Oryctolagus cuniculus: one gene and its partner. The protein of the gene in region 1 interacts with the protein of each later gene in a biochemical or structural test. Links are inferred from orthologs where the notes say so. Each region holds a gene or a part of one and is shown in the gene's direction. Other genes may lie near its edges. The genes, in order: RNF181 and ITGA2B.

What was found.
Region 2: the proteins of RNF181 (region 1) and ITGA2B form a complex in vitro, tested with the Homo sapiens proteins (2 studies listed by BioGRID). The link is inferred for Oryctolagus cuniculus from reciprocal best matches to the Homo sapiens genes RNF181 and ITGA2B.

The regions. Positions count from the first base shown.
Region 1 is NC_091433.1:117,050,625-117,062,093, reverse strand, and holds RNF181 (E3 ubiquitin-protein ligase RNF181), read left to right. Parts: upstream 1-5,376; 5' UTR 5,377-5,512; coding exon 5,513-5,598; intron 5,599-6,157; coding exon 6,158-6,288; intron 6,289-6,469; coding exon 6,470-6,579; intron 6,580-6,742; coding exon 6,743-6,817; intron 6,818-7,037; coding exon 7,038-7,097; 3' UTR 7,098-7,181; downstream 7,182-11,469. Other genes in the region: VAMP5 (vesicle-associated membrane protein 5), read left to right, coding at 2,537-2,674, 3,197-3,406; TMEM150A (transmembrane protein 150A), read right to left, coding at 8,345-8,586, 8,747-8,924, 9,105-9,232, 9,573-9,640, 10,196-10,282, 10,570-10,617, 11,013-11,077.
Region 2 is NC_091448.1:18,913,399-18,924,809, forward strand, and holds the start of ITGA2B (integrin alpha-IIb), read left to right. Parts: upstream 1-1,476; 5' UTR 1,477-1,556; coding exon 1,557-1,744; intron 1,745-3,505; coding exon 3,506-3,627; intron 3,628-3,718; coding exon 3,719-3,816; intron 3,817-3,920; coding exon 3,921-4,086; intron 4,087-4,330; coding exon 4,331-4,381; intron 4,382-4,454; coding exon of another isoform or gene 4,455-4,458; coding exon 4,459-4,500; intron 4,501-4,593; coding exon 4,594-4,722; intron 4,723-4,918; coding exon 4,919-4,966; intron 4,967-5,088; coding exon 5,089-5,132; intron 5,133-5,259; coding exon 5,260-5,313; intron 5,314-5,418; coding exon 5,419-5,471; intron 5,472-5,638; coding exon 5,639-5,850; intron 5,851-7,014; coding exon 7,015-7,197; intron 7,198-7,424; coding exon 7,425-7,470; intron 7,471-7,554; coding exon 7,555-7,659; intron 7,660-7,740; coding exon 7,741-7,796; intron 7,797-7,885; coding exon 7,886-8,037; intron 8,038-8,181; coding exon 8,182-8,307; intron 8,308-9,214; coding exon 9,215-9,282; and 13 more. UniProt on the Homo sapiens protein: Integrin alpha-IIb/beta-3 is a receptor for fibronectin, fibrinogen, plasminogen, prothrombin, thrombospondin and vitronectin. It recognizes the sequence R-G-D in a wide array of ligands.

The DNA.
Region 1 (11,469 bases):
AGAGGGAGAAGGGGAGAGGGGGAGAGAGGGAGAGGGGGAGAGAGAGGGAGAGAGAGGGAGAGGGAGAGAGAGGGAGAGGGGGAGAAGAGGGAGAGGGGGAGAGAGGGAGAGGGGGAGAAAGTTGGAGAGGGGGAGAGGGGAAGAGAGGGGGAGAGGGGGAGAGAGGGGGAGAGGGAGAGAGAGGGAAAGAGAGGGAGAGGGGGAGAGAGGTCTCCTTAAAAGATCTCCTTTTATTCCAAAAACAGTTGTCCTGGACTTTAGGCTGAGTTACAGTGTGGCGGAAGGCAGCACGGCCCTTGCCTCCCCCCTTGCCTGGTGCTTTATCTCGCGCCGTGCTAGCAGACACCTGTGCACACACGGTCTGTGTCCATTTTCCCCTGGTTGAGTGGGCCAGGGAGAGCCTGAGACTTGAGAGTCTGATGGCTCTGTGTTTCAAGTGTGTTCTTTTCAGCCTGGGTCCATCTTGGCTCTGGACAGGCCTGGCTTCGCAGTGTCGAGACTGCTCCAGATAACAGCTGGAGGCCCAGCCAGCTCTCCGCGGAGAATGTGACCCCACATCACCCCTGTTGGAGAACGAGAACAACAGCTGTCACATTCAGAGTAGCAAAAATAATGCCCAGCACCCCACCAGTCTCTAGCAGTGATTCTTATTTCCAAATCATTGCCCGTCACCGAGTTTTTGCCTTAGACTTGGAATGTGGGGGAGTTCAAAGGATCACATCACGGAGCCTCAGGGAGTAACAGGGCAGCCATGGCAAAGAGGGTGGCTGGCTCAGGAAAAGCTTCCCTGCCCTCCTTCACCCTTCCTCTGTGCTCCCCAACCTGTGAGCACCCCTCCTCCCAGTGCTTTGCCTGACCCCGCTTGAAGCAGGTTGTTTTTCAGGCTCATGAGTAAACACTGACCTATTTGGGTTTCAGATGCCTGCCCTGCAAAATTCCTGCTGGGCTGGATAAACACACTGGGGGAACATCTCTTGAGAATGCAAGTTGCTTTTGGATACAATGCAGGTGACCCACTGACTGAGCCCTTGCAATGGTCAGCACTGTGCCGGCCTCCTGGGCCCCCCAGGATGATGGCAGATGGAGGCAGGGCCCTCTCCCTGGGAGCTTGTGGTCCATTTGGAGAGCTAGGACTCATTCACTGGGAATGCATGCAAGCTGTGTGCAAGGCAGCTGCAAGGATCCTGAAGGGGGGATTCTTGCCTGAGGAGGAGGTGGTCCTCTGTGACTACTGGATCCTTCCCAACACTTAAGTCCTCTGCTTTTGAGGTGCCAAACGGTCTGCTGCAGACAGTGGCTATGTGGGCTGGCAGGAAAGGGAGTTTAGCTGATACTCTCTGCCAAGAGGAGGTGAGGATCAAGGCTGAGGTGAGGAGCTGCTGGGCTTTGCTAATCTGCCGATAGTCATCTCCCTGAAATGTCCCAGCACCTGCACCTGCACCTGCCTCCTGCCCTGAGTCTCTCTGGCCCAGGCAGAGCCAGGTGCCAGTCTTACTCATGACCCAGACGTTTCCTTTCTCCCGTGCCCTCAACCTCTCCCGGCTTGCAAGCTGCCCTTCCCTTTCCAGCCCTCTGAAAGGAGCTGTGTTTCTGTTAGGTGAAGCTGTTCAGGCTGGGAAAAATCCAAGGAAGGGTTGGTCTCTTGGCAGTGAGCTGGACCCCAGTGAAGACCCTGGCTAACTGGAAGAGGGAGGCCAGAGGCTAAGACAGCTGAGCTTCCTGGGCAGAGAGGGAGTGACTGTGGCCGCTGATGTGGTCAGCGGGCTCCTGACCAAGAGGCAGAAGTGGCCAGGAAGGAGATCTGAGTTGCTCAGTTTAGGGGAAGAAGAGAGGGTTAGGCTGGATTGATAATGCTGATCCCAAATTACCTTTTTAGCCTGAAGGGTGGGTGTCTTCCCTGTCTGGCTTCCAGCCAAGTGGCTTGGCTGCCTCTTTAGGTCAGTGGGAAGCCACAGGGCAGGTGCTTTGTGGGAGGGTAGGGTCCTCGCTGGAATCCAGGACTGATTTATGTCCTGCCTAATGGGCAAGGGGAGGAGACTGTGAGACCAAAGGTGAGCCGCGGAGGCCACGTGCCGTGCCGTGCCGTGGTGCAGCAGGTTAACTGTATCGTGTTTGGGAGTGCCGCTTAAAGTCCCAGCTACTCTGCTTCTAATCTAGCTCCCTGCTGAGGCACGTGGGAGGCGTCTGCTATGCACCTGGGAGACTCCTGGATGGAGTTCCTGGCTCCTGACTTCAGCCTGGCCTAGCCCTGGTTGTTCTGGTCATTTGGGGGAGTGAGCCAGCAGATCAAAGGTCTCTCTCTGTCTCTGCCTTTCAAATACTATTTTTTAAAAAGATAGGACAAAAAAATTTTTTAAATGGCGAGTGGCATTTACCCAGCCCCACCCCCCAACACATCACACCCTTACACGAAGGATCCTGTTACTCACATGCTGAATCCACACACAGTGGGGGGAGAGGACTGTAGGTCTCAGGGCCAGATGAGGGCCGGGGTGGGGGGGCCTCATGCAGCCCTGACCTGGGGCTTGGTGCCCAGGCAGGGAAAGAGTTGGAGCGATGCCAGCGGCAGGCCGACGAGGTGACAGAAATCATGCTCAACAACTTCGACAAGGTCCTGGAGCGCGATGGGAAGCTGGCAGAGCTACAGCAGCGTTCGGACCAACTGCTGGACATGGTGTGAGGCCCGTGGGTCAGGGAGGGGAGGGAGGGCTGGGCGAAGGCCCTGCAGGGAACGCTCGGGCTCTGCCCAGGGTATACAGACACTTGGTGGTGGCTGGGGGGGGGGGGGGGGGTTAGGGGCCAGCATGGGGCCTCTGGGTTTCTGAGGCACTCCTAGTAGGTATGCAATGGCCTGCCTTCAAAAATAAGACATTCTTGATTTTGTTATGGGAGAACATAAAATTTTGCTTTATGTTCTCCCTTAATAATGTGAAGCTATGTAGCTTCCTAAGGGTGGGGACTGGCATTGTTAACAAGGGGGGAGGGGCGGGTTGAGCCAGTAGGGCAGAAAGTCAGGGGTTACACCAGAGCCTGAGGCCAGGAGTGAGGCTGGGAAGATGCGGGGCAGGTTGTGGAGGAGGGGGACAGGGTGGGGAGGATGCAGGAGAGAGGAGGCCTTCCGGGGCCAGGCTGGGAGGCGCTGGTTCTGAGGCCATGGAGCGATGCTAACTCCCACTGTGTCTGCGGGTGTCCACAGAGCTCAGCCTTCAGCAAGACAACCAAGATCGTGGCCCAGAAGAAGCGCTGGGAGAATATCCGCTGCCGGGTCTACTTGGGGCTGGTGGTGGCCGGAGGCCTGCTCATCATCCTGATTGTACTGCTGGCCGTCTTTCTCCCGCAAAACAGTGGAGACAGTACTGCCCCACAAGCCCAGGATGCAACCACTGCCTCAGGATCTGGGGAATGACCCAGCTGGGCCTGGAGAGAGGCCGAAGAGCTGCACGGGCCAGTTCTAGTCTCCAGAGAACCCTGCTATTGGCTCCTGTCTGAGCCACCTCAGTGAGTGCCAGAGGGCAGCCCAGATGTGGGTACCTTTGCATCTCCCAACAAGCCACAGACTGGCCCTCAAGGGCGGCCTCCTGCACTGGCCATGCCGGGCCAGCCCCACCTGGAGCTCAGTAAAAGCTGCTGTTGGATTAAAAGATGATGATGATGTGTGTGCTGCACGTGTGCACGTGTGTGCCTGAAGCTCCCCAGGTTGGCATATCCTGCTCTGCCTCCACCCTCAGGGCTGCTTAGAAAGCCTGCCACCCAAAGGACTCCACCCCTGCAGTATAACCCGCTTCCGATTCCCTACTTGATCCAGCCCTACACAGACAGACCTTTCTGAGGTGTGGGGGCAAGGACACAGCAGCCCCCAAACCAGACCCTTGAACCCATCTTGTTTTTCTGACATCTTGGGGGGGGGGGAGCTGCGAGATGGGATGCCAAAGAGGAAAAGACGTCAAAACTCTGTAAATGAGTCTCTCACCGTCAGCTAGACCTCCCCCCTGCTGCCCCTGAACACTTTCCCCTCCCCAATTTCTCCGGCCCAGGTTCTTCTTCAGCCTTTACATACCAGAGTGCAGGTGCCCAGAGCTCCTGTGGTGCTGTGGACACAAAGTGTGGCCTGGAGTTTGTCCTGTAGGAAAGGATTCATTCGGGCTTTTTTCAAGCTCCAGGGCCACCCACGGCTTAGCAGGTGGTACCTTCAGGGCCTCGGCACAGATCTTTGTGCAACATCACAGAAGGCCAACCAAAGTGGTGGAGGCAGGGCAGCCTCTCCCTGGGTCACTTAACCACAGCTCAAACTCAAGGAAGAGTGGCAGGGGGAATTCAGAGTCAAGTGTGTAAAATAAGCAGATGCTTGTTCAGTAGAGTGAGGACTACCGACAGGAACAACCACAAGCTCTGAGAATTGTGTGGAATTTCATCCCTCCAAGAGGTCACGGCTTTCACCTTCCGGTGGTGGGAAAGACAGGGCCAAGCCTTTAGCCCTGCCTGGTCAGCCACACCACTTACAGGCTGTGTAATCTGGGTGAAGCCACTGCTGTAACTCAGGTTTTACTGATGTAAAAAGGACATAAGGATGCATAGCCCCCAGGACCATTGGGAGAATTACTGATGCGGTGTGGAAAATATCCATCACAGTTCCAGGTGCCAACCAGTAGCTGTCCCAGACATTGAGTGCAGTGGTTCTCTCATTCGAATCGGCAGAACTTAAATCAGAATATTCTTAGGGCATCAGCCCTGGAGTTATTTTCTAAAGCCGCACCTCTCATCATTCGTGTGCAGGCAGGAATACAAATATTGTAGTTCGAAGCCCTGGTTTTACAGATGCTGGATAGGAGGTTGAGCAATGGGCTGAAGGTCACACAGATGGGCAGTCCGTTCCAGGGCAGGTGAAGCCACAGGGCACAGACCTCTGCCTTTTGGTTGGGAGGCTTGCCCCGACCTTTATTATTCTACCTAACTCACGAGAAATGCGCAGGCTCCCCGCCCTCCGCGGGCTGGGGAGGAATCAAGCGCAAATCACTGAACCAACTTGAGCGCAGCGGGGCGAAAGGGCCCGGCGGGGACATGGGCAGAGCCGCGCGCAGAGCCATCGTTCCAGCCGGGCTCGTACACGCGTCCCCCTCTCCCGAGCGGTCTCTAGCGTCGCATGACCGAGGCCCTCGTGGCCTCAGGGCACACTGAGGACCCTTACTGCTCAGACGCCCGGCCTTCCAGAGCACCAAAAACGCTATCACGCCAGAAATTCCCGGGAATTCTCTCTGGTCTTGGATTCCTACATACCCTTTAACCAGCCCTGGTTTCTGCCATTGGCTTTACTCTTTGATCATCTGATTTATCCTAGCCAATGAGAGGCGCCCAAATTACTACTTCCGGCTTTTTTTTTTTTTTAGTGAGCCACTATACCCGCCCGTTAGATACTCTGATTGGCCCTCCTCTCTCAACTTGCCAGTTTATTGGCCAGCACTGTGAGGCGACCGGGGGCGGGGGCCCGAGCGCTGTGTCAGACCGTGGAATAGCCATGGCGTCCTATTTTGATGAACACAACTGCGAACCGTTGGACCCAGAACGGGAGACGCGAACCAACATGCTGTTGGAGCTCGCAAGGTGGGTGCGCGGGGTTCGGGCGTGCGTCCGGGCAGTAGGTTTCTGGGTTGGGGCTTACTGGTTAAGGATTATCTGGGGCAGGACGGATGAATAATGTGGAATATTAGTCCGGAAGGCGAGATTGGGGGGTTTTCTGGGGGGCGGAACCGGGGCAAGGAAGTTGAGGGGAAGATTGGAACTGGAGAGTGGTGGGAGTCGGGGCGGGTGGGCAGCCAGCTCTGGGAGCCAGGGGTGAGCCACGGCGGGTTAGGTTCGGAAACCCGGAAGCCCACACAGCCAGCCCGCAATCTGGCTCCTCCAGTTCGTTCCTGCGTGGCCTGAGGAACTTATCTGAGTAACAACCTATGTGCAAAATGGGAATGATCAGTCTGCGTGCTGGGGTTATCAGACAGCAGCTGTAAACTATTTCCCATCCTGCCTTTTATCTCGTTAGCACCCTCTGAGGGTAGCTGTTACTGCTATTGGCTGGGTTGGGCATTTATCTGTTGATGCCCAGTAGATGATGGACAAACGGGAGGTCTGGTTTTCCTGGGGACCAACCTTGCACCCTCCTCCCCAGGTCACTTTTCAATCGGATGGACTTTGAAGACTTGGGGTTGGTAGTAGATTGGGATCACCACCTGCCTCCACCAGCCGCCAAGGCTGTGGTCGAGAACCTCCCCAGGACAGTCATCAGGGGCTCTCAGGCTGGTGAGGCCACTCATTCCTCTTGTTGTTGGGGGCAAAGTGACAGATGCTCCCCCTTCTTCCAGCCGGACTCGGGTCTGGCCGTCAGTGGCCAGGCCAGGGCCAGGGCCAGGGCGCCCTTCAGGAGTGGGAGCTGGGCGGGGGACCTGCGGGCAGCTCTTCTGATCAGCGCTCCCTCCTAAAGAGCTCAAGTGCCCCGTGTGCCTTCTGGAATTTGAGGAGGAAGAGACTGTCATTGAGATGCCTTGCCACCACCTCTTCCACGCCAACTGCATTCTGCCCTGGCTGAGCAAGGTACTGGTTTCCTTCTTCCAGTCCTCACCTTGCCCCTGGGCCCAGGTCTCTAACTTGGTTTACAGACTGTTGAGAGATCAGGGAAGGGTGGGAGTTGGGAGTAGGGGAGGTGATTCTAAGGGTGAAGACCTGACCCCTGTGAACACTGCCCTGTTTCTGCCAGACAAATTCCTGCCCCCTGTGCCGCCACGAGCTGCCCACTGATGACGACACTTACGAGGAGCACAGAAGAGATAAGGTAGAGGCTGGGGTGGGGGGCCAGGATGGTTTCCCTGAGCCCCTTGTTCTCACAGCTCTCCTTCCCCACTTCAGCAGGCCTGGGTAGACCTCAGAATCTCTGACTGCCTTCCCAGAGACTTTGTGGAGGGGTTTAAGACCAGGGAGAGCCAGCCCAGCCCAGCCCCTCCCCCACAGACCTTTAGGTTTGGTCCCTGCCCAGTGTGCCCTCTGTCTTCCAGGCTCGAAAGCAGCAGCAGCAGCATCGACTGGAGTACCTCCACGGAGCCATGTACACGTGAGGCGGCCGGGGCTGCGCGCTGGCTGGCAGGCCACAACAGCTTCCTCTTGCACCTTGAATCCTCATTAAAGGTTTCTTTATCTGCCTCGCCGGGGTTTCACATCCTCCACTAGGTCTCCATTGCTGTTGGTGAAGGTGGTCCTAAACCACGAAGGCAGGCGTCGGGCTCTTGTTCCCTCCCTGCTGGCCTGTCTACACTCAGGGCAGCGGAGCCCGAGTCCAGGAACCTTGACCACTGGGCCAGCCAGGGCTTGGGCCTCTGTGTTTTTATGGTTCAAAGGCACAACATAGCAGGATCTGGCCATTTAGAGCTGATAAACCAGCCTCCATCCCCGTCCCCCTGCAGTTTCTAGTTAACCTTGGAACTTTTAGTTAATGCTTAGAATCCCGCGGGTTTTCCTGCAGCTCCATTGAGAACACTGGGTGTACCATTTTTAAAGTGGCTCCCTAGAGCACCCCCCCCCCCACCGCGCGTGCCAAAGAATCAAAGCTCAAACTGGATTCCTAGTGGGGGAAAGAAGTGTGAGGTGATCAGACCAGGTCAGCTGTTTCGTCTGAGAGGCCCAGAAAGGAACGCAGGTCCCCAGGTCCTTGTGGGGCATCGCATGGCACCTGGCATCACGTGTTCCTGGCAGTCCTGCTCTTAGGACTCCAGAGCTTCCTCCCCTCCTTTGCTTAGGGAAAACCATCCTGGACCAGGCCCTCTCTGACTCTCCAGAACAGACTACAAAGATGCAAATTAGAATTCTTTTAATAGGTATATAAAAAAAAGTACTAAAATACCCCCGTGGTTCTGCTGTGTTATTTGCCCTAAAGGAAGTGAGAGGCAGAGTGAAGAATCCCAGTGCAGCTCAGTGGGCCCAGAAGTGGGCTTTCCCATAAACTAAGGCGTGCCCCCCCCCCGGCTCCTATCCCCTCTGCTGTTCCCAGCCCCCCAATTCCTGCAGCAGGAACCCCAGTGGTCTGGCTCTGGCACTGGGATAAGAAGGCACCTGAAGGGCTGGCTGGGCGAGTGAGGACAGGTGACCTTTAAACACAAAACGCCACCTCGGCGTGGGGGAACAGGTCATGCTGCTGAGGCAGGGCCTGCTCCTGTATGGCACAGGTGGACGTGGGCTGGCCACTTCTCTGCAAGCAGGGAAGCCCAGATCCCAACAGAATACTTTTCTCACACTGTTTTTGGTACAAAATAAACGCAGATATGGGGTGGGGTGCTGCGGAGGCCAGGCCAGCCACCCTCCCCAGACTTCAGATCATGGCAATGCTCTCGGGGGTGCAGTTGAGGTGGGTGGACGTGCTGCTGCTCCCAGAGGATTTGCAGGCCCGGCCAGGGGCAGGCTGCAGGGCAGCCACCAGTGTGTCTGAGGAGATTGCCCCAAACTCATAGCTGAAGGTGCCATAGAAAATAAGGATATCGATGACAAACACCCACTCGCACAGCGCCGCCCCGTGCTGCAGCTGAGAACTTTCGTGGACAAAGAAGACACCACCTGGAATGAGGCTAAGGAAATGTTCAGGAGGATGTGTGGGCGGCAGGCCACAGCGCCTCCCCCGCCATCAGCCTTCCCCCCAACTCCCCGCCGCCATCCTGGATGGGAGAAGGGCTGGGCTAGAGGATGAGTTCTTGGCTGCCCAGTCCTGGAAGGATACTGAGGACCAGGGTGACGAAGGCGATGACAGCCAGCACACTTCGCAGGTAGGCCACAGCCAGATCCAGGCGCGTGGCGGCCCCGTGGTAGGAGAGGGCGCAGTGCAGGGACACAAAGAGCAGCCCCGCGGGGAAGGCCACGCCAGCTCCCACATAGTGCAGGGACTTGGCGTGATCCACCTGGGCCCAGACAGAAGGGCTGGTCTGTGACGAGGCCCCAGCACTCCACCACCTCCTCTCTCCTTTCCCTCCCACTCTCTCCTTCCCCAGCCCCCAGCCTTGAGGTGCTGCTGCCCCTGCAGGCAGCCAGGCCCTGTACGGGAGAGCTCAAGGGGCCAGGTTGGGTGGGCAGGAGGGCACCTGAAAGTTGCCGACCACCACGAGGCCCGCGGCGTTGGTGCAGCCCGTGATGAGTGCTGTGGTGTTAACCCAGGAGTGCCGGTTCTGCTCCAGGAGCTGCCCGTAGCGCAAGAGGCAAATCAGGGCCACTGCAGGAGGAGAGCAGAGCTGGGGCTGGCTCTGAATCCTTCTCCAGCCCCGGCCCCACCCAGCGAGCCTGCCGGCTTGCCCGCAGTTCTGGTGCTCCTGCCCTGAGGGCTGGAAGGCAGTGGACAAACATGTGGTGAGCTGGGTTTCCTCAGGCCCGGACCAGCAGGGTGGACGGTGTGGGCTATGTGGGAGTTGGCCTTTGGCCTTCAAGGAATGGGAGAGACACAGGTTGCCCCGCTTGCCTTGGCCCTCCGTGGGGGAGGGCTGAGCTGGACGAGGGCTTCCTGGGCCTTTCTGGGGAGGGGGCGTGTGCAAGGTGGGGCTGCGGGGCCAACTCACCCATGAAAGCACCCATGTTGCCAATGAGGCTGAAGAGGCAGCTCTCTGGGGGGTATGTGCCGCACTTGCTGAGGGAGGGGCAAGGGCAGAGTGAGAGGGGAGTCCCAGGGGAGCCCCGTTCTGGCCCGGAGGCTCTCCCCTGCTTTATCTGTGCCCGTTCCTTTGTAGGCAAGACACTGATTTCTGTGAAAGGCCCGTGTTGCTCACGTGTGGCTGGCTCTAAGCAGAGCTCACGTGTCGGGGAGAGAAGGGAGCAGCCAGGAGTGGTCAGTAGACCTGAGACTCCTTGCCGAGGCCTGCGGCTGGTCAGGCTTTCCTTAGCCCAGAATGTGGGCTGGGCAATCAGAAGGCTTGAGCCTGGAGTCTCATGCCTCCACTCACCAGCTGTGTGGCCCGGACAAGCAACAACACTGAGTCTCGGTTTCTGAAGCAATAGATAAAATGATAGAAACAATAGCTGCCTCACCGGTGGGAGGAGGATGAGAGACTATGCATAGAGGCCCAGTGCATCGTGACTACCCCTAGGATAATGGTTATTCCTGACCCCCGAGAGCAGCCAGGGCTGTTTTGGAAGTCTGGGAGGGCTGAGGGTCTCCCTGACCTGCCCAGGTTCCAGGCCTTACCTGATGAGGGGGACATCGTCCAGGGTGCAGCAGGTCTTGGGGCCCCCTTGCTCAGCTGGGTCAGGAGAGCAGGACTCGTTGTAGGACCTGGCAGGCAGGACAGGGAGTAGACTGGGGGAGGGGGTGCCCTGGCCTCTGGCTTGTAGTCTCAAGTCTCAGAGAGGGACCTCCCCAGCAGGGGCAGGAGAGCCGTACACCAGGGCCTGCCTGCAACAAGCCGGAGGGACAAAGGGATGGTGGGAAGTGGGTGGACGGGCAGGGAGCCATGCCTGGGGGGCTCGTGACACTGGGGACACAGGGAGGCCTAGGGTCTGCATCTGGCTGGGGGACAGAGCGCAAGGGAGCTTTAGGTGAGGCTGCAGAGTGCTCCATACCAGTTCTCCACAGGACACACGTGGCGGTTCATCACGGCCATGGCGTACCTGCGGGAGCAGAACTGTCACCCCGTCCCCACCCCTCCCAGCCTGGCCACCCCCCACCAATTCCTCTCCTCCACTCTGATTTCTCCCCCCAGTCAGCCTCCTTGTCCTTGCTGGGGGCTCAAGTTGGAGTGCCCTGAGGCTTGATGTTACCACACCACACCCAAGCCTGCCGCATGGCCCTCTAGAAGTCGTCCCCTCTAGAGCTTAGAAGTCAGTCTGACAGGGAGACGCTGCTGGACAGCAGTGGTGCCAGCTTGTCCCAAGGGGCGGTGTGCCCAGGCACCAGGCCAGGCTTTGGAGACAGCCAGAGTGACCCCGGGTACCACCCTGGAGCCTGCAACGGGACAAGGGGCTTTGTGTGCCCCCCAGCTCCTGTCGCCTCCCCCTGTACTCACACAGTCCATATGCCGGTGATGGAGAAGGCTGACAGGCTGACAGGAAGGAGGATCCAGGCGGTCATGAGGGAGGGGAGCCAGGGTGGTGGTGGTGTGGGGGGAGGACAAGAGGTAGGCGGGGAGGAGGGGGCGGGCCACAACCATCAGCTGCCCTGGCCTGGTGGGGAGAGACAGATCAAAGTCCAGGGTCTGGTAAGCGGCCAGGAGAGGGGGGAAGGGGAGGGAGAGAGGTGGTCAACATCTCATCCGGAGCTGCCCTTGGGCCTAGGAGCCCATTAACTTTGGGCTGAACCCTGGCTCCTACGTGGACACCCCTGGCATCCACCGAGGGGGTATCCGCGGACCACCCAAACGCCACCGGCATGCCGCCGGCATGCCGAGAGATTCAAGCTGAGCTGTAACATCTGGAAAGCGAGTCACCCTCCTTCTCCTGAGAGACCCGGGTTGGGAGAAGGCT
Region 2 (11,411 bases), on another chromosome or scaffold:
GAGAGGTAGAGACAAAGGTCTTCTTTCTGTTGTTTCACTCCCCAAATGGCCACAATGGCCAGAGCTCCGCCAATCCAAAGCCAGGAGCTTCCCAGTCTCCCATGCGGGTGCAGGGGCCCAAGGAGTTGGGCCATCTTCTGCTTTCCCAGGCCACAGCAGAGAGCTGGATGGGAAGAGGAGCAGCCGGGACTAGAACTGGCGCCCATATGGGATGCCAGTGCCGCAGGCGGAGGATTAACCTACTGCACCACAGCGCCGGCCCCAGGGGTCATATTTTTAACTGAGCTGAGATGGTGAAGTACGAGAAGGGAGGAGCTTAAGTGACTCCAGATGGCTCGGGGTAGTCAAGCAGAGTACGGCGCCAGTGCAGTCTGAGCAGGGAACTCCAAAAGGAGGGTGCAGCCGGGCCCTCCTCCCGCTGGTGCCCTCCGGAATCTCCTCAGTGCACTTCGGGGAAGACATGCAGTGCCAGGGAGACTTGGCACTCCTCCTGCCCAGGGAACGTGCCTTCGTGTTCCACTCATCTGCCGCTGTGTTTGCCTCTCCTATCCTTAGCGCACGCCTCCGCGCAGTCCAGCAGCTGGCTCTCGGCTGGGCCTTGGGGCTGCAGAAAGAAACCTTGCTCTCAGGGAGTTGCTGCACAGGGCAATGAGCAGACCTGGGGACAGTAGCCCAGGGTGCTAGTCTGCGGAGTTGGGGGAGCCTTCCTAGAGGCAGTGACCCCAACCAGACTCGAGTTTTGATTGGTTGGATGAGAGCTCCATCATGCAAGGGGTGAGGACCCGCCTTCAACTGATAGCTGGTGCGAAAATCTCAGAGCTCGTTAGCCAGAACACCCTGGGGTGACTCCACTCTATGCCCATCGCTTTGCTAGGCCAGATCCTTTCGCCATCTCTGTACCAGCACTGGCTGCACTGCTGTGGCCACACGAAGACTTGGCCCAAGATAGAAGAGTGAGGAAGCTTCTGCACCAATAAGCATGACAGGCTGCCAAAGGCCCTGGAAGGAGGAAGTGGGCGAGGGCCTTATCCCAAAAGGGCAGCCTCAGGTCTTATCAAGGGGCAGCAGCTTCCGGGTTCCTGCCCCCATCCTGGCCGAGTTACAAAGCGCCACCGCGATGCAGCCAGCTCGATGGGGCGAGGGAGGAGCTGGAGGACTGCAGGCCAGGGTGGACCTGTGGCGTTGTAGGAACAATCAGTCCACACCTGGACTCTCGGGCACCAAGTGAGGATGGCGTGGCCGAGCATGGAGGTAGTGGAGCTGGGGTGAAGGATCGGGAGACAGCTGAGAGGCAGGATCGGGGGGACGTGGTGAGCAGCTGCTCCTGGGAAAGGCAGGAGATGTGACTTCTGGCCATGCGCATCCACCCCTTGGAGGGCCTCACCCCCTTCCTGGCAACGCCAGACACCGTCCGGGTCCAGGGCCAGCCCTTTGCCTACTGTTGAGCAAGTTACGCTGGGTTCCAGTTTGATAAGAAAAGACTTCCTGTGGTGAGAACTGGAGGGAAGACGAAGGAGCTGACCCATTCCTGCCTAGGAGGTTGTGGGAGAAGGAAGATGGCCAGAGCCTTGGGTCCACTGCCTGCCTTCTGGTTTCTGGAATGGGCCCTGCTGCTCTTGGGTCCAGGTGCTGGACCTCCAGCCTGGGCCTTGAACCTGGACCCAGTGCAGCTCACCATCTATACGGGCCTCAATGGCAGCCACTTTGGGTTTTCACTGGACTTCTACAAGGACAGCCATGGAAGGTGAGCCCTGGGGGATATTTGGATGCTGGGGAGAGAAGGGCCCCCCACACATGCACATCACTACTCAAGTTCCCTGTGGATGAGAGCAGTTGAACAAGGTGAATTCTGGGGTCTGCTGGGCACAGCTGGCCCAGGTGTGAGGGGGAGGAACACCGGTGGGGAGGTGGGCGTTGAGGCCACAGCAGAAACAAAGGGAGGCCCAAAGCGCGTGCCTGGCTTTGCCCGGAGGATCATCCTGCTGGGATACAGAAAAGAGCACATGTCCTGAGCTGGTCTGCCAGTTATAAAACTGTCTATCCGGCCTTCTTTTCGGCTCCATTTCTCTTATCCCCATCACAGTTATTAGCAATTTGAAAAGAAGCAATCGGTCATTAATGGTTGAATTGATCAGGCTTTGGAATCTGACTACCAAGGTTAGAGTCCTGCCCCCCCCTTTTGTTAGGATTTTTGTTTGTTTATTTTGAAGAGTTACAGAAAGGGGAGAGAACAATCTTCCATCCACTAAGTTCCCTCCCCAAAAGTGGCTGCAGTGGCCAGAGCTGCGCCAGGAGCCAGGAGCTTCTTCCAGGTCTCCTGTGTGGGTGGCAGGGACCCAAACACTTTGGCCAGCTTCTGATACTTTTCCCAGGCCATTAGCAGGGAGCTGGATCAGTAGAGCAGCCAGGACAAACCGACAGCCATTTGGGATGCTGGCATTGCAGGCAGTGGCTCTACCTGCTATGCCACAGTGCCTGCCTACCTGGCTCCTCCTTTTTATACCTGTGTTACCCTGGGCTACTTGTCCTAGTGGACATTGTCCCCTTCCTGAGGTGGTCCCCATTCAATGATCAGTGAAAACTGTTTGGGGGGCAAGGGGTAAGGGTCCACCCTCTTGGTTCAACTCTTTTTAAAAATATATATTTACTTGAAAGGTAGACCAGCAAGGAGAGAGAGGGAGAGACAGACAGAAGTCCTCCATCTGCTGGTTCACTCCCCAAATGGCCGCAAGGGTTGGGCTGGGGCTGAGCCAGGGGCTCGGAACTCCATCTGGTCTCTCATGTGGGTGGCTAGGGCCCAAGGACTGGACCATCGCCCCACTGCCCTCCCCGGCATGTTAGCAGGGAACTGGATCGGAAGCGGAGCAGCCCCCGGGTGTTGACCCCCATCTGACATTGGGTCTGAATCTCAGCTCCACACCTGTTGCTGCTGCTTTCCCCCTCCTTTCCACGATTAGTGGTCCCATGGGCACTACGTAGTAAACATCCTGGGTGCCAAAAAATAAAGTGTTCTTCCTCAATGAACTTGCTCCCTGTTGGACTGGGACCGTGCTAAACGCCCCGTATACGTGCAGTACATGGGTTGGCGTTCTGCCTGACTGACACGTGGCAGAGCTCAGGTAAAACTACCCCGGCGGGACCCTCCGCTCCCACGCACCCCCGCCCCACTTCGCGTGCCTCCCTCAGCACTCAAACCCCCTCCCAAGGAGGGACCTGGTTCCCAGGAGCACGCGAGACCCTGGTGGTGGCTGGTGGTCGGACGGTGGAGACGCCGACAGCGTAGGCGATACTTTTCTCACGGATACCGAACCCCCGGTGTTCAAATCAAACCGTGGGATCAGTTCCAGCTTCACTCCCGACTCGCTGGGTTACTTTAGGCATGGGATTTCCCTCTCTCACAATAAAGTGTGAGGTCCCATGTAGGAGAGCGATGCGGTGCCCGCCGGCTACACGGCCCCGGCGCGCTCCCAGCACCGCGCCGCGCTCACCCTGCTTTCCCGCGCAGCGTGGCCATCGTGGTGGGCGCCCCGCGGACCCTGGGCCTCGGCCAAAAGGAGACGGGCGGCGTGTTCCTGTGCCCCTGGAAGGCCGAGGGCAGCCCGTGCAGCCTGCTGTCCTTCAACCTCAGTGAGTCCCCAGCAAGGGTGGAAGGGAGGAGCGAGGGGGAGGTTCACGGCCGGATGGGACTCAACGCCCCACCCCTTCTTGTGCCCTCCAGGCGACGAGTACCGAAAAACGAGCTCCCAACTTTTCCAAACCTTCAGGGCCCGGCAAGGCCTGGGGGCGTCGGTCGTCAGCTGGAATGACATCATTGTGGTGGGCGCCCCGAGACCGGCACGGGGCGGTCGGGGAGGGGATGCGCTGGGGACGGGGGAGCCCGAGCCTCGCACCCTTCCCCACTCTCCCGTGGCCCTGTCCAGGCCTGCGCCCCCTGGCAGCAATGGAACGTCCTGGAAAAGGCAGCGGAGGCCGAGAAGACGCCGGTCGGCGGCTGCTTCGTGGCTCATCTGCCTAGCGGGAGGCGCGCGGAGTACTCGCCCTGTCGTGGCAACACCATGAGCCACGTTTACGAAAAAATGTATCTTAGTAAGGGCCACCCTCCATCTAGTTCCGCCCACTCGAGACTGCATAGCCCCGCCCCTAACCTCCGCCAGCCCGGCTTCCAATCTGGCCTTAGCGTCTGCCCAGCTCCTGGTCCCGCCCCTCCGACTGCAGCCACGCCTCCTTATTACCCTGTCCCCGCCCCCTCGCGCTTGCGCACTGCCCCGCGGCGCTGCAGGCGCGGAGGCTCGCTTCTTCCCCCGCGGGTTCACTGAGCCGTCTCCCCTAGGAGACTTACGCTCCTGCGAAGCGGGCTTCAGCTCCGTGATCACCCAGGCAAGTTGGAGGCAAAAGCATGGTGGGGGCAGTCCACGAACCGGGCGCTCTTCTCACCTCCAGGGCTTCCCTTTCAGGAAGGAGAGCTGGTGCTGGGGGCTCCGGGCGGCTATTATTACTTAGGTACGTGCGAGTCGGTGCGACCCCCGCCCCTCTCACGGCCCCGGGAGACCCCTGGCGTCTGGGCCCCCACACTCCCTGCCCCTCGCGCCCTAGGTTTCCTGGTCCGGGCTCCAATTGCCAACATCATCTCGAGTTACAGCCCCGGCGTCCTCTTGTGGACCGTGCCCAATCAGAACTTCACCTTCGACTACAGCAACCGAAAGTACTTCGACGGCTACCGAGGTAATCTGGAGCCCCAGCACCCCAGGGGTCACCGCCCGCCCCGCCGACCACGTCCTGCCCCTCGGGAGCCTCCGCAGCGCCTACAGCGCCCCGCCTCTGGACGGCTCTGCGCGGTGCCGGGTTCGGACTGGGTGGCCTCGGAGTCCCCTCTTTTCTCGCCCCCAGCACCTCCTGCTAAGATTTAATTTGTCCCCAGGGTACTCGGTGGCCGTGGGCGAATTCGATGGGGATCTCAGCACAACAGGTAAGAAGTCCACCTGCTCAGTGGCGGGGTTGGGAGCCCAGCCCCGGGAGAAGCTGCGCGCGGAGCGGGTGGGAGGTAGCAGGCTCTAGAGATGCCGCCCGCTGAGCCTGGCTCTCCCCCAGAGTATGTCCTCGGTGCCCCCACTTGGAGCTGGACCATGGGAGCGGTGAGTGCCCTCCACCACACCACTGGCATCAATGTCCCCAGTCCTCAGGCTCACGGTCCCCCCGCCCCGACTTCCTGCCCTTCTCACGGGGAGCAAACGTAACACGCTCCATGCACTGTCCATGCAGGTGGAAATTTTGGATTCCTACTTCTACAGGCTGCACCGGCTGCAGGGCGAGCAGGTGGGGGCCGGGCCGCGCTGGGACTGGCTGAAGACAGGAAACTAAGACCACAGAATATCTGGGGGGTTGGGAGGTACAAACGAAGGTGCCCTCGTCTCCTTGCAGATGGCTTCGTATTTTGGGCACTCTGTGGCGGTCACTGATGTCAACGGGGATGGGTGAGGAGGGGGACGCCCCACCCCTACCCCGTTGGTTCCCCAGTTGCCTCTGCCAGCCCTGCCTTGGGCACGACCGCCCCAGGAGCTGAGAGCCAGCGTGGGCAAGATTTGGCCCTAGCCCCCAGCCGCCACTAGCCAGCCCCAGCTGACCACCCCTCTGCCTGCAGGAGGCATGACCTACTGGTGGGCGCTCCTCTGTTCATGGCGAGCCAGGCAGACCACAAGCTGGCCGAGGTGGGGCGCGTGTACTTGTTCCTGCAGCTGCAAGGCCCCCACCTGCTGGGCGCACCCAGCCTCCTGCTGACCGGCACGCAGCTCTACGGGCGGTTTGGCTCTGCGATCGCGCCCCTGGGCGACCTCAACAGGGATGGCTACAATGGTGAGGAGAGAGGAGCCCCCACTTGCTGCAGGAGGGTTAACAGCCTCAACAGAAAGCCTGGGCTTGACCCGAGGGCAGGGGGAGCCAGGAGGGGCTTCAGTCAGGAAAGATGAATTCAATGTGGAGGAAAATGGAAGGGGTTGAACAGGAGAAAATGTGCCATGGGGAGCAGGGGGTGGAGCCAGAGGAGTCATGGGCGGAGCCAGAGGGACCAGGGGGTGGAGCCAGAGGAACCAGGGGCGGAGCCAGGGGAGCCAGAAGAGGTTCCTGTAATGCACAGGGGGGACACAGCCCGGTGCCGGGTGAAGAGAGACACCTGTTCCAATGTCAAACACGAACAGGGTAAAGGGAGCTGGTGGCCCACGGTGGGGCCACTTCCCTTTTGAGAAGTAGGAGATGCGGTCCCCTGTGAGAAGCCAAGGGCTGGGCGCTGCAAGGATGGAGGAAGCTAGAAACAGGTGCTGAGCAGACTGGGAGGAGTGAGCAGCACCTGGCCAGGCAGCGGGGCAGCCTCCAGGGCACTGGGGTCAGGGGCTCATGGTGCCCCGAGCTGGGTTCACCCAGGGCTGGCAGTGGGACAAGCCGGCTCAGCCTATGGCAAGGTCAGAGAAATCAGTGAAGACAGTTCAAAGAAAGAGCTGCGTAGGAAACATGCTGTCAACAAAATCGGGAGGCAAAGGGTAGACAGGTGCAAGGCACGTATCAAAGACGCGCTCGTGTCAGACACGAAGAGTTCTCAGAGGTGCCACTCTGACAACAGGTGCGCTTTCAAAGGTGAGTGAGAGCCTGTGGGTGTGCCTGAGTCTGTGGGGGGGAAGCGCAGGGCCCCAGGGGAAGTTGGGGGCCTGTATTTAATAAGCTTCAGCTACTCCATATTCTGGAGCCCACACTTTTTATCTAAAATTAGTAGAATAATGCCTCATTTTCAGGATTAAATGAAATCTTGTTGATCTCTTTTCCTCGGCGGTTAGTGGAGGCTGGTGCTGTTTTCCTAACAGTGCTGCCTGACCAGCCTCTCTCCCACTTGACCGCAACTTCGGCCTCACACTGGGCAGCCCTCTCTTGGTCCTCCGGGGCCGGCCCAGAGAGGGAGCTCAGGAAGCCGTGCCCCTGGTGGGGGGGGGGGGGTTGAATAACAAGCAGCCATGCCTGTTACCTTTCCAGATGTTGCGGTGGCTGCGCCCTACGGGGGTCCGAGCGGTCGGGGCCAAGTGCTGGTGTACCTGGGGCAGAGCGAGGGGCTGAACCCACATCCCTCCCAGGTCCTGGACAGCCCCTTCCCCGCGGGCTCTGCCTTTGGCTTCTGTCTGAGAGGTGCCACAGACATCGATGACAACGGATACCCAGGTGCCTTTGCTGCAAATGCCGAGAGACAGCCAGGAGGCCCGGGCCTGACCTGGTGCCCGCCCCACTGGGGGCTCTGACCGCTTTGTATGGCTGGGAAGCCTGGGGTGGAGGGGAGCAGGTCAGACTTCCTGGGGCGGGGGAGGTGGTGTGCGGAGCCCTAAGGGAGATGAGAAGCCGCCCCCATGCCCTCTCTAACTGCCAATCCCGACCCCTCCTGCAATGTTTAGACCTGCTGGTAGGAGCTTACGGGGCGGACAAGGTGGTTGTGTACAGGTGAGCGCTGACTCTGGGGGCGGGGTGCGGGAGGAGGCCAACCCCAAAGGGGCCGCAACGGCAGGCGCCCCTCTGTCCCGCTAGAGCCCAGCCGGTGGTCATGGCCGATGTCCAGCTGCTGGTGCAAGATTCGCTGAACCCTGCTGTGAAGAACTGTGTCCTGCACCAGACCAACACCCCCGTGAGCTGGTGAGGAGGCGCGGGCGCGGCAGCCGGGACCTGTGGTCCCTGGGCCGGCCCTCGCCCCTGAACCCACTCACGTCTTTGCAGCTTCAACATCCAGATGTGCGTGGGGGTCACCGGGCACAACATTCCCCAGAGGCTGTGTGAGTGGCTCGGGAGGCGCAGGGGGAGGAGGGCCCAGGCTCCCCCGCGGCTGGCCAGGTGGTCTTGACCGGGCCTGCTTGTCCTGCAGACCTGCAGGCTGAGCTGCAGCTGGACCGCCAGAAGCCCCGCCAGGGCCGGCGAGTGCTGTTGCTGGGCTCTCAGCAGGCGAGCACCACCCTGAGCATGGACCTGGGCGGGAGGCAGAGCCGCCTCTGCCACAACACCACGGCCTTCCTTCGCGTACGCACAGGCAGGGGTTCGGCTGGGCTGGGCGTGTGCACCGCATTCACCAGCCCTGGGGCACTGGGCTGGGTGCTGTGGGTCCAGGGGTCATCAGCAGGATGTGCATGGAGCGAGATTGCCTGACTCCTGTCTCCCTCCTAGGATGAGGCGGACTTCCGGGACAAGCTGAGCCCCATCGTGCTCAGCTTCAACGTGTCGCTGCAGCCCAAGGAGGCTGGCGTGGCCCCTGCCGTGGTCCTGCACGGGAACACCCACGTGCAGGAGCAGGTGGGACGGGTGGGAGTGGTACAGGGCCCCTGACAGAAAGCCTAGGTTGGGGTAGTGTCCAAATCATAATGTGTACCCCCAGACCTTGACGTCACCCCGATATCTGGCTTACCAGTTAAGATGCCTGCATCCCATATCCGAGCGCCTGGGTTCAATTCCCAGTGCCAGTGCCTGATCCCAGCTTTTTGCCAATACAGACCCTGGGAGAGAGTGAAGGTGGCTCAAGTCACCCACCTGGGAGGCTCAGGTTGAATTCTCAGCTTTGCTGGCTGCTGTGGGCGTTTGGGGAGTGAACCAGTGGAGCTCTGTCTGCCTGTTTCTCTCTCTCTCTGCCTCTCAAATAATTCAAGTGTTTGTGTATGTGCAGAGTATGTTTATATGTTTATGATATATACAGAGAGAGGCTAGCGAAAATCCCAATATCCCCTACACCTTGAGGTCAACTCCAAACTTTTTCAGCTTCAGATCTTTTTTTGTAAGATTTGCTTTATTTATTTGAAAGGCAGAGTGATGGAGAGAGGGAGAGAAAGAGAGAGAAAGGATATTCCATCCACTGGTTCACCCCCCAAATGGCCACAGAAAACGGGCTGTGCCAGGAGCCTGGAACTCCATCCTGGTCTCCCATGTGGGTGGGGGGGACCAAGCACTTGGGCCATCTTCTGTTGCCTTCTCCGGGGCATTAGCAGGGAGCTGCATTGGAAGTGGACCAGCGGGGACTTGAACCAGCGCTGTGATCTGGGGTGCCGGCATCCCAAGTGGTAGCTTCACCTGCTGTGCCACAACACTGGTCCCTTATTCCCTAAGCCCTGATAAGAATCCCAAGCCCATTGTTGTATTCCTAACCCTGGTGTGGCCCCCAAGCCTCAGAGGACCCCAGTTACCCACACCTCTCAATGTGCCCCCCTAGACCCGCATCATCCTGGAGTGTGGGGAAGATGACGTGTGCGTGCCCCAGCTTCACCTCACGGCCAGCCTGTAAGGGGACCTCCCACTCTGCTCCTCCCCGGCCCTCTCGGCCCCCTGCCGCCTCTCCTCCTCCCTGGCTTCACTCCTCTCCCTCCCCCCCACAGGAAGGGCTCCCCACTCCTGATTGGGGCTGACAATGTGCTGGAGCTGCAGATGGTCGCGGCCAACGACGGGGAGGGGGCCTACGAGGCAGAGCTGGTGGTGCACCTGCCCCTGGGGGCCCACTACATGCGGGCAGTGAGCACCATAGAGGTGAGGCCCAGCCCTAGGGCACTGCCAGGTCCTGACACGTGCAGAAGCCTCCACCCTGTCCATATCCCACTGCAAGAGCTCCCATGTCCCGTATGCTTGGCCACATAAGGTGTTTGGAAGAGGAATGCTCCCTAATGGCACAAAATTCGAGAACTCAATCGAAAAACCCCTACATGTCTCAGAAACGAAGTGGTAGCTGGAACCTGTGCCCAGTCTTTTTCCTCCAAGATTGACAGTCACTAACAGAGGTACAAAGGGCACTGCAAGAAAGTGCATGGAGAACGTGCAGTATGAAAAAGCTAGCAGCAGGTTTCCAACGCTCTGGGCATAAATAATCGTAACCTTTGCATTCCATGTTCCCACAGACTTTCTGAAGGCACCTCACCTATTGATTTCGGTTTTTGCTGTAGTTTATAACAAGGGGGTCATTCTCTATGCAATGCATTTTTAGGTTATTATTTCCCAAATGAAAATTTACTTAAAAAAAAAAAAAAAGAAGTGTGACAGTGACGCAAAAGCAGAATCCCACCCCCACCTCCCCAGTGCCCCTGCTCACCCAGGCACACAAGTGCCCCCCCCACCTCCTTTCCAAAGGAGCTTAAGCCCCGCCCCGCCCCCCAGGGCTTGGAGAGACTCATCTGTAACCAGAGGAAGGAGAACCAGACCAAGGCGGTGCTGTGCGAGCTTGGCAACCCCATGAAGCAGGCGCGGGTAAGGCGTCGGCCCGGCACAGCCGCAGCCGGGTCCCGGGCCAGGTTTTGGAGTCTGAGAGCCCTGGGTTAGAATCCCGGGCCTCACACCCCTGGCTACTGTGTGTCCTGGGTACGGGGTGAGCTGGGAGGGGGGCCACTGGGAGCCCATTCAGGGCAGGGCTGCCCAGAGCGGGCTTTGGGGCGGTGACTTGGGCCCTCCCCGTCTCCCAGATAGGAATCACGATGCTGGTGAGCGTGGGGAACCTGGAAGATGCTGGCGAGTCTGTATCCTTCCAGCTGCAGATCAGGAGGTACCCGGCTCCGGGGAGCGCACCTAGCCACCCCCTCCCCTGTCCGACCCCAGTGCAGAGACCCTCAGGCTCCTTCCCTACAGAAGGGTCTTCTGAGACACCTTCCGGCCAGGCCCCGCCCTTCCTCTCTTGGGTCAGAGGTTCACGTCTGACTCCTGGGACCTTAGAGGAGTTCTTTCCCGCGCCACGCCCTGTGTGCAGTCAGCGCTCCCTGGCCCGGCCCAGGGAGGCACGGGGCGGTGTGTGGGTGACCCGCTTCTCCTCACCCCTCCCCTGCAGCAAGAACAGCCAGAACCCCAACAGCGAGGCTGTGCTGCTGGCTGTGCCGGTCCGCGCTGCTGCTCAAGTGGAGCTGCGAGGGTGAGAGAGAGGGCGCCCAAGGGAGAGGCCGGCAAGGCTGCAGTTAGGTGTCCCAGGGGCTGCAGCCTGGAGATCACTCACCCTCTGGGGGGCTTGGGCACCTGTAGGAACTCCTTTCCAGCCTCCCTGGTGCTGGCAGAAGAAGGTGACCAGGAACAGAACAGCTTGGACCTCAAAGTGGAGCACACCTATGAGGTAGGGAGCCCCCGCCGAGTCCCAGCTGGGGAGGGAGGGGCCTAGGTGCTGTGCCCTGGCTCTGAGCCACCTGCTGCCTGGCCATCACCACCCCAGCTCCACAACAATGGCCCAGGCACCGTGAGGGGTCTCCACCTGACCATCCACCTCCCGGGCCAGTCCCAGCCCTCGGACCTGCTCTACATCCTGGGCATAGAGCCGCAGGGGGGCCTCCAGTGCTCCCCACAGCCCTCGCCCAACCCCCTCAAGGTGAGCGCCTGGGTGAGCCGAAGCTGGGGTGGGGTCCCGGGCACCTGGTGTGTGTAGGGGGTACTGACTGCTTTTTTGG